Saccharomyces cerevisiae S288C: one gene and its partners. The main gene of each other region encodes a partner of the protein of the gene in region 3 in a complex. Each region holds a gene or a part of one and is shown on either strand. Other genes may lie near its edges.

What was found. The genes of interacting proteins can lie anywhere in the genome.
Region 1: MRPL27 (region 3) and RTC6 share a complex: the UniProt entries of both Saccharomyces cerevisiae proteins name them as parts of the mitochondrial large ribosomal subunit.
Region 2: MRPL27 (region 3) and MRPL11 share a complex: the UniProt entries of both Saccharomyces cerevisiae proteins name them as parts of the mitochondrial large ribosomal subunit.

Annotation. Positions count from the first base shown.
Region 1 is NC_001148.4:196,455-200,849, forward strand, and holds RTC6 (mitochondrial 54S ribosomal protein bL36m RTC6), read left to right. Parts: upstream 1-2,640; coding exon 2,641-2,922; downstream 2,923-4,395. Other genes in the region: MRN1 (Mrn1p), read right to left, coding at 1-1,334; tRNA (34-2'-O)-methyltransferase regulator RTT10, read right to left, coding at 3,041-4,395. UniProt on the Saccharomyces cerevisiae protein: Component of the mitochondrial ribosome (mitoribosome), a dedicated translation machinery responsible for the synthesis of mitochondrial genome-encoded proteins, including at least some of the essential transmembrane subunits of the mitochondrial respiratory chain.
Region 2 is NC_001136.10:95,777-100,697, forward strand, and holds MRPL11 (mitochondrial 54S ribosomal protein uL10m MRPL11), read left to right. Parts: upstream 1-2,698; coding exon 2,699-3,448; downstream 3,449-4,921. Other genes in the region: RTN2 (Rtn2p), read left to right, coding at 1-10; ACK1 (Ack1p), read right to left, coding at 306-2,177; TRM8 (tRNA (guanine46-N7)-methyltransferase), read left to right, coding at 3,785-4,645; MGT1 (methylated-DNA--protein-cysteine methyltransferase), read right to left, coding at 4,725-4,921. UniProt on the Saccharomyces cerevisiae protein: Component of the mitochondrial ribosome (mitoribosome), a dedicated translation machinery responsible for the synthesis of mitochondrial genome-encoded proteins, including at least some of the essential transmembrane subunits of the mitochondrial respiratory chain.
Region 3 is NC_001134.8:766,645-769,180, reverse strand, and holds MRPL27 (mitochondrial 54S ribosomal protein mL41 MRPL27), read right to left. Parts: upstream 942-2,536; coding exon 501-941; downstream 1-500. Other genes in the region: SSH1 (Ssh1p), read left to right, coding at 1-238; glutamine amidotransferase subunit DUG2, read left to right, coding at 1,575-2,536. UniProt on the Saccharomyces cerevisiae protein: Component of the mitochondrial ribosome (mitoribosome), a dedicated translation machinery responsible for the synthesis of mitochondrial genome-encoded proteins, including at least some of the essential transmembrane subunits of the mitochondrial respiratory chain.

The DNA.
Region 1 (4,395 bases), on a different chromosome or scaffold from region 3:
TCAATTTTAACATCCTTAGGCAAGCTGCCCAGGTAAACAGTCCTGTTACCCAAGTTATTGGGGCCGCCCGCAGATGTAGCAATTGCAGCAGCAGCAGCAGACTGTTGTAACAAAGCGTTAGATATAAATTCACGATCAGAAAACTCTATCATATGTTCCATACCAGGTTGTACACCTAGAAATTGAGCCGCATTATGTTGTTGAGTTTTGGTAATAAATGCACATCTGTCCTTTCCATAAAATATTCTCTTATTTTGATAGTATGGATTTCTAATTGGCAGATTCGTAACCACTTTTATAGCATTTAAAATAGACGCAAAATGAATAAAGGCGATTCCCTTTTCCTTGATAATTTTTATACAGTCAATTTCACCATATTCTTCTAAATCAACCCTCAATTGCTCCTCAGATAAATGTGATTCTTCGCCTTCAATCGTCATACGGCCAATGTATACATTTCTTGTGGCACCGTCCGTAGAGATTCTAGCCGCTACAATAGGATCAATTCGAGTTGGTTTCCCCCACCCGATTTTGATATCCCTGTCACCGATGTTCAAGCGCTTTAAAATTGCGTCTGAATGGAACAATAGTGCAGCACTTTCATCTATAAACGAAACGAATGCACACATCTTTTCAGGTATGATTTTGACGTCTTCAACGACACCACTTCTGACATGATCCAATAACTCTTTAACGCTTAGGTTTGGTGGCACATTACCCAAATAAACAGTTCTACTTGGGGCCGATGTAAAATTCAAAGGATTATTGGCTTGTGCATTAACTGGTAAAGGCGCATTTGCGTTGGTTACTGCAGTTGCAGTTGCCATAATAGTGGGTGACATGCCATCAGATAACACATTTGGATTCTCATCATCAAAAGGAGAGACTTCATTTGATGACCTTTCATATTCATAATAACGATTGTTATTGTGGACAACTTCGTTATCAATTTCGAAATTTTGTTCCTGTGAAAACCGTTGCTGTTGTGAATCATTTCGCTGCTTTGTCTGGAATTGAGTTGGTTGCTGTTGAATACGCTGATAATCAAAAATTCCGTCATTCTCGTAAAAGAACGAATCATTAGGCTCTCGTGTAAAGTCGGATGGTAAAAGAGTAAAATTACCATTCATAGGATACACAGCATCGCCAAAGTTTTGAGGGCCACTCGCATAAGTTTCTTGGTAAGGGCCGGAAGAACTGGACTGTTGATACATTGCAAAGTCATCGGAAGAAGGAAAAGGAGGGAACATGTTATTATTGTTATTATTATTACTGATATTATTATTGTTATTGTTATTGTTATTGTTATTATTATTGTTATAAGAAACCACCATGTTTTAATGCAATTGAAGTAGTATGTGATGGTGAAGAAAAAAAAAAATACAACGATAGTTCTTTGTTTTTCTTTAGGAAATATCTGAATAGAAAAGGCTTCAACGACCAGAATTGAAAAAATAAAATAGTATTAGCAAAGAAAAATATGATATTTTTTTTCAAAAAAAAAAAGAGTGTCCTTGAGAATTGAAGTTGGAAACGGATATTAATTAGACAAAAAAAATGATGAAGAAAGATAAAGTGAAAAATATGAGGCTGGAATGGACAGTTGAACCAATTAAGGAGCCTAATTGGTAAAGCAGAACAGGTGAGTCAGAAGACTTAAAAAGGGGCAAATATCAAATAACGGAAGAACGAAGAAAATAGAAGAATACAATGTTCAAAAGAAATGAAGCGTATGTGTATCTAAAGGAAAGGTACAGAGACTATCAGTTCTAGAAATTGTAAATTGGTAAAATAAACAGAGAAAGGAAGCTTAAGGAGAGAATTCAGTGGGGAATGTGACTCTGTGAAAATAATGTATAAGAGTGGGCAACGGTGTTCTCGTAGATATAGCGCTGTGCTGAACCAAGTTTAGTTTTTTTTACTTTCCACCAAAGGCAAAGAAACTGATTAATTTATTGCTGTGACGAAGGGATGGAGTATGATTGCGGTTGTGACTGAATCTCTTTGTAGACTTTCGGACAACCACAAGATCCACTTTCTGGTAAAGTTAATTTCAAGATCGTGTTTTTTTCTGTCTTTTCTTTCTCTTCTCATAGCCAAAATCGTACCACAAGGAAAAAAAGCACCGGGTTACCATGATGGTGGAATCCCACTGTAAGAACATAAGAATGATAAGTACGCAACTGCCACGGCAGTTGGAAGAAAGACATAGTCTGCCCTCATTCGGCGTGTATTATTGGACGTCAAGTTACCTTTTCCAAGTGTTTCCCTTTTTTGTCTTTTGAATTTGTCAATAGGGAGTGAAAGGTCCATAGTTCAAGGGCATTCCAAAAGTGAGGATAAAAAAAGCGTAGTCATAAACACTTCAACGGTGTTGCCGAGAATGACGACGGTCCGGTAGAAGGTGGTGCTTTTATCTATGTATTAGTTATTTACTATCTGCGTAACGAAACTATGATTTTTTTTTTCTCTCACCCAAGCCGAAATTAAAAATTCTGTCTTCGCACTTATTCCAAATAGAAAGGGAATGAATCGTGGAACTATTGGCATTGGGATATAGCCTCGATCTACTCGCATATAACGGCTACGGTTCATAGTACAAATCTCAGAATTTTTCAGCAAGCGAAAGGATTTCAAAGAATGTTTTTACAGACTCTCCGCCTAACTATGCCAAGGATGTTTTTGCACATGAAACCGTCCCCCATAACGATAACAAGGGCCTGCACAGTGCCCAGCCTCCTATCTGTTGCAGCTCCGCAACCAGCTCTTGTTGCAGCTAACAGACCTTTGGTTTTTAACAGAGGTTTCAAGGTCAGAACATCTGTCAAAAAGTTCTGCAGTGATTGCTACTTGGTAAGAAGAAAGGGAAGAGTATACATTTATTGCAAGTCGAATAAAAAACACAAACAGCGTCAAGGCTGAAAGATGTAAATCTCTTCGCTGTTCTCCGTTCGGGTGTTTACAAAATATTCTCATTTTCTAAAATCTGTAAATAATACATATCTATAATATTCTTTTATGTATATGTTAATTTTTTGTATCATTTTTTCCAAATTGATAAACCAACACCTCCGATCAGTAACGTTTTCTCAGAATCAGCATCTTCATCATTGGAAATGATTTCTAATGATCCTGTATCCGCCACAGTGGTACGCTTTTTATCTACCAGTGAAAGCTTGCCTGCGGTAATTTCCCAAGCGCGTATTACTTGATCAACCGATGTGGTAATGACTTCTTTGCCACCATTAATCAACATACCGGACGTTATTGTCGAAGAAGCTGCTGCAGCGATAAAGTCACTTGTTTTTAACGTTACTTTATTCGAGTCATCTAATTTCAGGTTGCTTAACCCTAAACCATTATCATCACCCCCTGTCAAAATTGTGGCGGAAGTTCTTGTAGCATTAGCAACATAGTCTAGGGACTTGACACCAGATTGATGTACCGGCAACTGCGCTACAGGTGCGGGAAGATTTGAGATAGTAGCGTCCAGTTTGTGGTCAACCAAATCGCCAGAAATCGGATCAACGGAAAATGGTACGTACTCGGTTATATTATAAACCACTAAATGTCCATCAGTTGGTGAAATGACAACAAGGAGCTCTTCTTTCAGTGCAATAAATACGACGTTGAATAAACAGCACGTCTTATAACGACCTTGCATGATCAGGTCAAACTTATTCTGATTTTCCCTATAGTGCCAAATCTTTATTGTTGAATCTGAATAAACAGTAACTAATAAGAAGTCACCTGACTGTGATATAAATTTGACATCAAAATCCATGATCCTTAGATCAGAATTATTTGTGGATACAGGTAAAGCTTGTCGTATGGTCATATATGGTCGTTTATTATACTTATCGTTCAATTCCCATAAGAATAACTCCTCTCTAGCTGAAGATGATATCATTAGTTTGTGATTTATAAACTGACAACGTTGTAATCCAGACACATGCTTTCTTTGTGTCCAAAAATTCTGCACCTTCCCTGTTCTATTGTTAAAATATCCCAGCTTAATTGTAGTATCTTCAGATGCAGTACAGAATATATGCCCATCCTTAAAATTGTCATTCGTGTTGGTATTTGAAACAGGACAGATTGAAATATCTCTGATTTCCCTTCCGTGTACACCATTTTCTAAAGTTTCAGGCACAATGGAGTTGTAAATTTTCCTTAAATGAAATCGGGATGCCTTAATATACATTAATACGTGGCCATCAGTAATTTTTGCGAGATTCCACAGACGATGGGAACCACCACAAACTTCACTAGCTAGTTCATAACAGTTGGTTTCATTGTAGAGATAAAACAAGCTGGACTTGAACCCATAAGTAATGTATTCACCTTTTGAATTAAAGAAAGCGCCCTCCAAGAAACCTTTCATCATCTTATTAG
Region 2 (4,921 bases), on a different chromosome or scaffold from region 3:
ACACGCATAATCTAGTTTTTTTTTTTTTCTCTCTTCTTTCTAGCTAGTAGTTCATTTCCTTTTCTTTTTTTCAAAGAGGTCATATTTATCACCAACTATATATTTTTTTGAAGAAAAGATATCATTACAACGATAAGTAGTTACAATATTTTTTTTATTTAGTTTAAAATAATGAGTAAATGACGTCGCATTTCTTCGCTTTTGTTATTTTTATTCTCCTCTCATTTTTGAGGAGAATGTTACAATATTTTACTAATGTCCTGAATAATATTTGATTTATGGCATAATAAAGAAATGCGAATTCGTTAATTTGTCAAACTTCGAAGAGCATCAACTGCCTTCCTGAATCCCATTCTTGCAGCCCTCTGATAATATTGTTTGGCCAGATCCAAATCAACTTCACAACCGACACCTTTTTCGTAATAAAATCCTAAGGCAAATTCAGTGCGGGCTAATTTACCGTCTGAACACTTGCTGCTCTTCAAGGCCCAGTTGAATGCCTCTTTATTGTTTGGTTTCAAAATATTTGGTGCTCCCGTTAAGTACCATCCACTTAAGGATAACATTGCCATCGGATTCCCCTTCGGCTGAGCAGCAGCAGCTTTGGAATACCAATATATGGATTTTTTGGCCACCACTGGCAACCCTAGGTCTCCAAACTCATAACAATTTCCTAATTTCCATTGCGCTAAAGGGTACTCAAAATCTTTGGCACATTGTTGGTAGTATTTTATTGCCAGTTGAGAGTCTTTTCGTATGCCGTTCGCAAATAATAGGTTCTGGATTTCTGGCGGCAAAACACTGAATTCATATATTTTACCTAACTCATATAATGTTTGTGGAGAGTCACCCTTTTGGGCAGCTTTATCAAACCATTTAATAGCTAGCAATACATCAGTCTTTTGCATGTTCAGACCGTATAAATGGCTCATCCCTAATTTATACATACACGCAGAATTTGAACAAACTTCTGCGCCATGCTGGTAGTATTGGAAGGCCTTTTTTATGCATTGTTCTTTGGTTGGTGATGGATCCAAAGAAGAGGTGCCCCTTTGGTATTCAAAGCATACACCTGCACGGTAGCATGCATCTGAATTGTTCAATTTCGCAGCTTTACAATAATATTCCAGCGCCTTTTCATCATTTTTAATAACGATGTTTTTGTTCTTTATAGGTAAATAGGGTTGGTGTGAATACAGCGTCCCCATTAAATACATGGCAGGTGGCCATTTTAAAGTTATCAATTTTGTGAGCACCTTGAATGAATGTTCCAAAATGACTTTCTGGTTTTTGAGCATTTCCTCAGGCTTTAAGCTTCTTTTGAGCTTCTCCGCGTTTATGTTATATTGCGATATGAAATCCTCATTAAAGGCATATGTAAGTAATGTTTCACACCATTGCATTTGTATCTCGGGGGTGAATTTTGAAGAGTCAGTAATTGTCTTCTTGTACACTTGATAGAAAGCCAATGCCTCTGGTGAATAGGAAGACAGTTTGTCCTCACCACCTGAGGACCCATTATCGTCTGTCTTCGCGCTCCCAGTGGGTGGTTGGTTGATTTTTTGTGGTGGAACAGGATTATTATTCAAAGGTCGTATTGGAGCTTTTTCCTCGGTTCTGTAAACTTTTTCCTGCAGTATCCTAGATTCAGATTCCTCATAGGGTGGTGGCGCTGAGTTGTCCCTTACAGACTCTGATATTCGATTTCCACTGCTTATTGATGCATCTTGTACAGCTGGTGAACCCAAACTCTCTTTTGTAGAACTAAAATTGAAAGGAAGTTCATACCTACTACCAGTACTGTTGGTGCCATTATTGGCATATCCTATTTCACCTGTTGGCTTGGAATTAAAAATGTCCATGCCGTTATTACTATTTATGGTTACTGGAGTGCCTAATTGACCACCATCAGCATTCCCGTCTGTGAAATTCAGCGCACTCAAAGGCAGCGATAATGATGAGGAAGATGAAGGGGATGTAAAAGGAATAGCTGGTGTGAGTTCAACGATAGAGTCATCCACTGGATAGGGTGCAGGCACTATATTTTGAGCTGGCAAACCATGCCTATCCGAATTGGCATTTCCCAATTTATGCGAGGACTCCCGCGCCCTTGCTGGTGGAAACATGTTAATGTGTTTGTCATAGAGGTTAGGTTGCGGTTGGCCCTGATTAACCATTGCCTACTGTATTAAAACAAAGTATTAAAACGTGGTGGTACACTCTGTACAAAAGAATAGAAGGAAATGAAAAGAAAACGGAGTTAAAATCTACTTCATAAAAAGAGACGCTTCCAAATCCAGTCTCTACCACGTTCTTGTATATAATTTGAGCAACTCAAATTAAATTACCGGGATATCTGCTTATTCTACAAGCCATAGCATCCAGTGCTAAGGTTCATCTCAAGCCATCTTCAATACACTTGATAATTAGTCGTCAATTTTAAAATTAGGTTTCGTTCTTGAAGGCACTTAACCTAAGCTTTTTACTATATGACCTATTAAACAAGTCTTTTTCATAGTGTAACCTAACGTTTATACACTAATAACCCTAGGGCTTAGTAGAGATTCATACAGAAAAAAACGTAGAGTTATAGCAGTAAACTGAGAAAAGAAAGAAGGTTAGTACAATTGAAGAGTAAGGAAAACAAAAGCTTTAGACCTTATTGGAAGTGCTTGGGCGCGGAGTGTGATTATAAATAATGTTGCAGCTAAGGTTTATGCCTGGATGGGTCCCCAGAAATGGTTTTTTTGGTTTGAAGGAGACAATTGGTACAGTACATAAGAGATTTTATGCTCTGGCTTCTGAACAACCCTCAAGAAAGACAGTAAAGCCGCTGGACTCGAGGAAGACGTTTCTCATCGATACATACAAGCATTTAATGGAGAACAGTTCTATGATTTTTTTTGTCCATTACAATAATCTTTCCAAAACAGAAGATCACCATTTCAGATTCAAGATTAAACAGACAGGAGGGAAACTCACAAAAGTAAGAAACAACCTGTTCGAAGTCTACTTGAGAAATTCGCATCTGCCCGACCCATGTGGATTCGTGAAGCGTAAAGAGCAAAACTGGAAACATCCACTCTTGCCACTACTGAAGGGTCCTACGGCCACAATTACATACGAAGACACCAACCCTCAACAAGTAGCCAAGCTATTGAAGGTTCTGCAGTCAGCACAAGACAAGCTGATGGTGATTGGTGCAAAAGTAGAAAACGAAGTTTTGAATGTGGAAAAAATAAACACTTTTAAGACTCTCCCCACAAAGCCGGAAATGCAGTCGCAGTTAGTCAGCGTTTTGCAAATGCTAAGTGGGTTGGGTTTGGTTCGTACGTTGGAAAACAGTTCAAATGCATTGTATTTAACACTAAAATCTCACAATGACAACCAAAAACCTAAAGAGGATGTGGAGTCAACTACAGATGCAGAATCGAAGGGATCAAAGTAAAAAGAAAATGCCCGTAATTCGACAAGTTTTATAAAGGTTTTACTATTCAATCATGTACATACATCATCAAAAAATAAAAAGACAATGAAGCAATAACGGTAAATATACTTTAGTCTATGTATTGACGTCAAAATTACCTTTCTTTTACCTTTCTTACCTTTTTACATATCTCAGCGACCGTTGAAAAAAAAAAAAAATGAAAAATTTTGGTGATGACTTCAGCAAAAAATTTCAGGATATTTCTGACATTTCACTTTATTAAAGCGCCACAAAAGCTGGATTAGTATAGATTCAGCAGTTCCCATAGGATAAAATTTTCAAGCGTTTATTGTTAAGATGAAAGCCAAGCCACTAAGCCAAGATCCAGGCTCCAAGCGTTACGCATACCGTATAAATAAGGAAGAAAATCGTAAGGAGTTGAAGCATGTAAAGATCAATGAAAGTTCTTTGGTGCAAGAAGGCCAAAAGATCGACTTGCCAAAGAAGAGATATTATCGTCAAAGGGCGCATTCCAACCCATTTTCAGATCACCAGTTAGAGTACCCAGTATCTCCCCAGGATATGGATTGGTCCAAATTGTACCCTTACTACAAAAACGCGGAAAATGGACAAATGACAAAGAAGGTGACGATTGCTGATATTGGCTGTGGATTCGGTGGGTTGATGATAGATTTATCACCAGCCTTCCCTGAAGATCTTATCTTAGGGATGGAAATTCGTGTGCAGGTTACAAATTACGTGGAGGATAGAATTATTGCCTTAAGGAACAATACAGCTTCAAAACATGGATTTCAAAACATTAATGTCTTGAGAGGTAACGCTATGAAATTCTTGCCCAACTTTTTTGAAAAGGGCCAGCTTTCTAAAATGTTTTTTTGTTTCCCCGATCCTCATTTCAAACAAAGAAAGCATAAGGCAAGAATTATCACTAACACCTTGCTGAGTGAGTACGCATATGTTTTGAAAGAGGGCGGTGTCGTGTACACAATTACAGACGTCAAAGACCTGCATGAGTGGATGGTAAAACATTTAGAAGAGCATCCTTTATTTGAACGGTTGAGCAAAGAATGGGAAGAAAACGATGAATGTGTGAAAATAATGAGAAATGCCACAGAAGAAGGTAAAAAAGTGGAAAGAAAGAAGGGTGACAAGTTCGTCGCTTGTTTCACAAGATTACCAACGCCAGCCATATTGTAACATAGATGTATAACTAGAACAATTTACCACATATACATAACTATTTCTTATGTTTATTTTCCTAAAATCCTTTATCCAACTACAATCTACTAAGGCTTAAGCTATTTTCCTTTTCATTATTTAATAACTGTTCTTTCAGTTTACAGCTCCATTTATATCCGGTTAATTTTCTATTGCTACCAACGATTCTATGGCAAGGTACTAACAATGCCAGGTTATTTGAGCCGCAAGCTCTTCCGACAGATCTTGCGGCAGTTGGCTTCCCTATTCTCTTTG
Region 3 (2,536 bases):
ACAGAATGTCGCTAAAGAATTGAACAAAGTCATTCCAATCGCAGCTGTTACGGGTGCATCCGTCTTAAGTTTGATCACCGTTATCGGTGAATCTTTGGGTTTGAAAGGTAAAGCTGCTGGTATAGTTGTTGGCATTGCTGGTGGGTTTTCTTTGCTAGAAGTCATTACCATTGAATACCAACAAAGTGGCGGTCAAAGTGCTTTGAATCAAGTCTTGGGTGTTCCAGGTGCTATGTAAACAAAGAAAAGAAAAAAAAGAAGGAAAACAAAAAAGAAGATCAAATTCTCTCTGCTACGCGCATTTATATACGTACGAACTTTTTGCTCTTCTTTTAGATTTATATGTATCTATATTTAACTCAAAGAAAGATGACATATGGTGCAATGTCTAAGCCATGTTTTATTTGATTTTGTTTTACAATCTTAAGTTTTATTTTTTATCTACCTATAAAGTCGAAAACTAGTATTTACACGCATATTGAAGAAAGATTATAAATAACTTATCCACGCTCCTTATAACATGAAGTGTCGGTGGCCCCTTCGCTTTGTACCCTCCCGTTTACTATGTATTCTTTTATCTTTAATAACTGTAAACGAGGATCTAATGGGCCGCCGCTAAATCCTTTAAATTCGTGTTTTAGAGGTGGTACATTTGCGTTAACGTAGGGCTTTAATTCGAAATTAACCATATCTGGGGTAACATAGGTTCTGACTTTCTTCCAGTTTATCACATAACCACCGAATTTTGTATGTCTACCAATCCCTGAAGCTCTTGTCCCTTTGTACATCGTCTTGTTACCTTGCTTCGTGGTCAACGGCACTCTTTTATTCCCAACTTTTGATAACCCATAAAATAATTCACCATCTCTGTATTTCTTCCAAGGCCTGGTAAGAGCATTAATAGAGGTCTTACTAAATTGAGAAATGGGTGAGCCTTTCATTTTAGTTATTTGCTGTCCTCACTTTCAAGGTAATCTTTGATTCCCGTAGTTTTTTTAAGCAAAAATTGGTGTATACTACTTCAATAGTCCTATCTTTTGTATTAATTCTAGCTTTTCAAAAATAATCCGTGAAACGTGATAATAATAATTATGTATCTCAAGAAAATCATCATCAAATAGCCGCCAACAAGCTGCAGTGAAGCAACATTGAAAGTCCTTCCCGCAAGTATTAGGCTCTGTTTAAAGATTACTAACCTTGTTAATAATTATAATAACACTTCACAGCTATTTTCGTATTCCTTTTCATAGTTAAGGGCATTTCACTTTGATCTAGAATGATCCTCTGATTTCGATGTTTTGTTATATGGTAAGGAAGCTCTTGAGCATTGCTCACAATTACTGCTGCAATTAGAAGTTCAATGAAGATGGTATCTTTTTTTTTTTTTCTCATGAGAGGGAATACCGACTTTACCATAAACTTGAGTGATAATCGCATTGTGCGCCGCGAAAAGCTGTGGCACCAATATCAATAAAATGTGTGTAACTGAATTATTTAAGTGAAAAACTATTTCGAGAAACCGAACAACCCTGTAAGGAAAAGTGAAAAACGAGGGCAGAAGTAATTGTGAAATCATGTACGATAGCAGGGGTGTCGCATTGCACTCTGAACTAATTCATAGGTGGAATCACGCTTTTTCCATCTTATCCATTGTTGCATTTCCAAAAAAAAGATTGTTGTTTGCTGGTAGCCAAGACTCCAAGATATTGGTTTTTGATCTTCCCACATATAATCTAATACATACGATTAGACTAGGCGAATCACAAGAGGAAACGCATACCAGATCTTCGGTTTTGTGCTTGACAGGATCAGAAGATGAAAACTTTTTATTTTCAGGCGGCGCAGATTCTTTGGTGAGAATTTGGTCCATTGGCGAAAAGACCATTAGAGATGACTTTCTACCTGTTACTGAAATAGCCACTGTTTACTCAGTGACCGATATTGGTGATATTTTCTCATTGGCATATTTGGATTCGTTGGAAACTATTGTCTTTGGCTGTCAAAATGCAAGCTTACTATATGTTGAGAACTTGATTCAGAAGATTGAAAAAAAATCCTCTGATGGAGTAGAAAATATCAATAAATTACCGCATAGAAGATATGATAAGTTCTTTGATTCGTTAGGTCCGACTGGATATAGTTCAAATTCATTATCTCAAACTTCATTGACCTCTCTACAAGAAAACTGTGGCGCTGCCATCATAGAGGTTCCCTCCGAAAACATTATTAAATATGCACATTATGGGTTTATTTATTCTATTAATAAATTGTGTCCCAGGTTTAATCAGTTATTGGAAAAAAGCTCACGAACTTCTGGTGCAGAGCACATAATTTCATCCGCTGGTGATGGAATAAGCAAGCTTTGGGAGTTCTCTAAAGATAAAGGGCAAAACACTGTTAAAATCTCCTTGATAAACGATAAAATCGACAATGAAGATAGCGTCATATCCCAAACTATTGAGTTCCCATTTTTATATTGCGGGTTGACTGACGGGATTATAAAAATCTGGGACTTAAATACTCAGCAAATAATCTC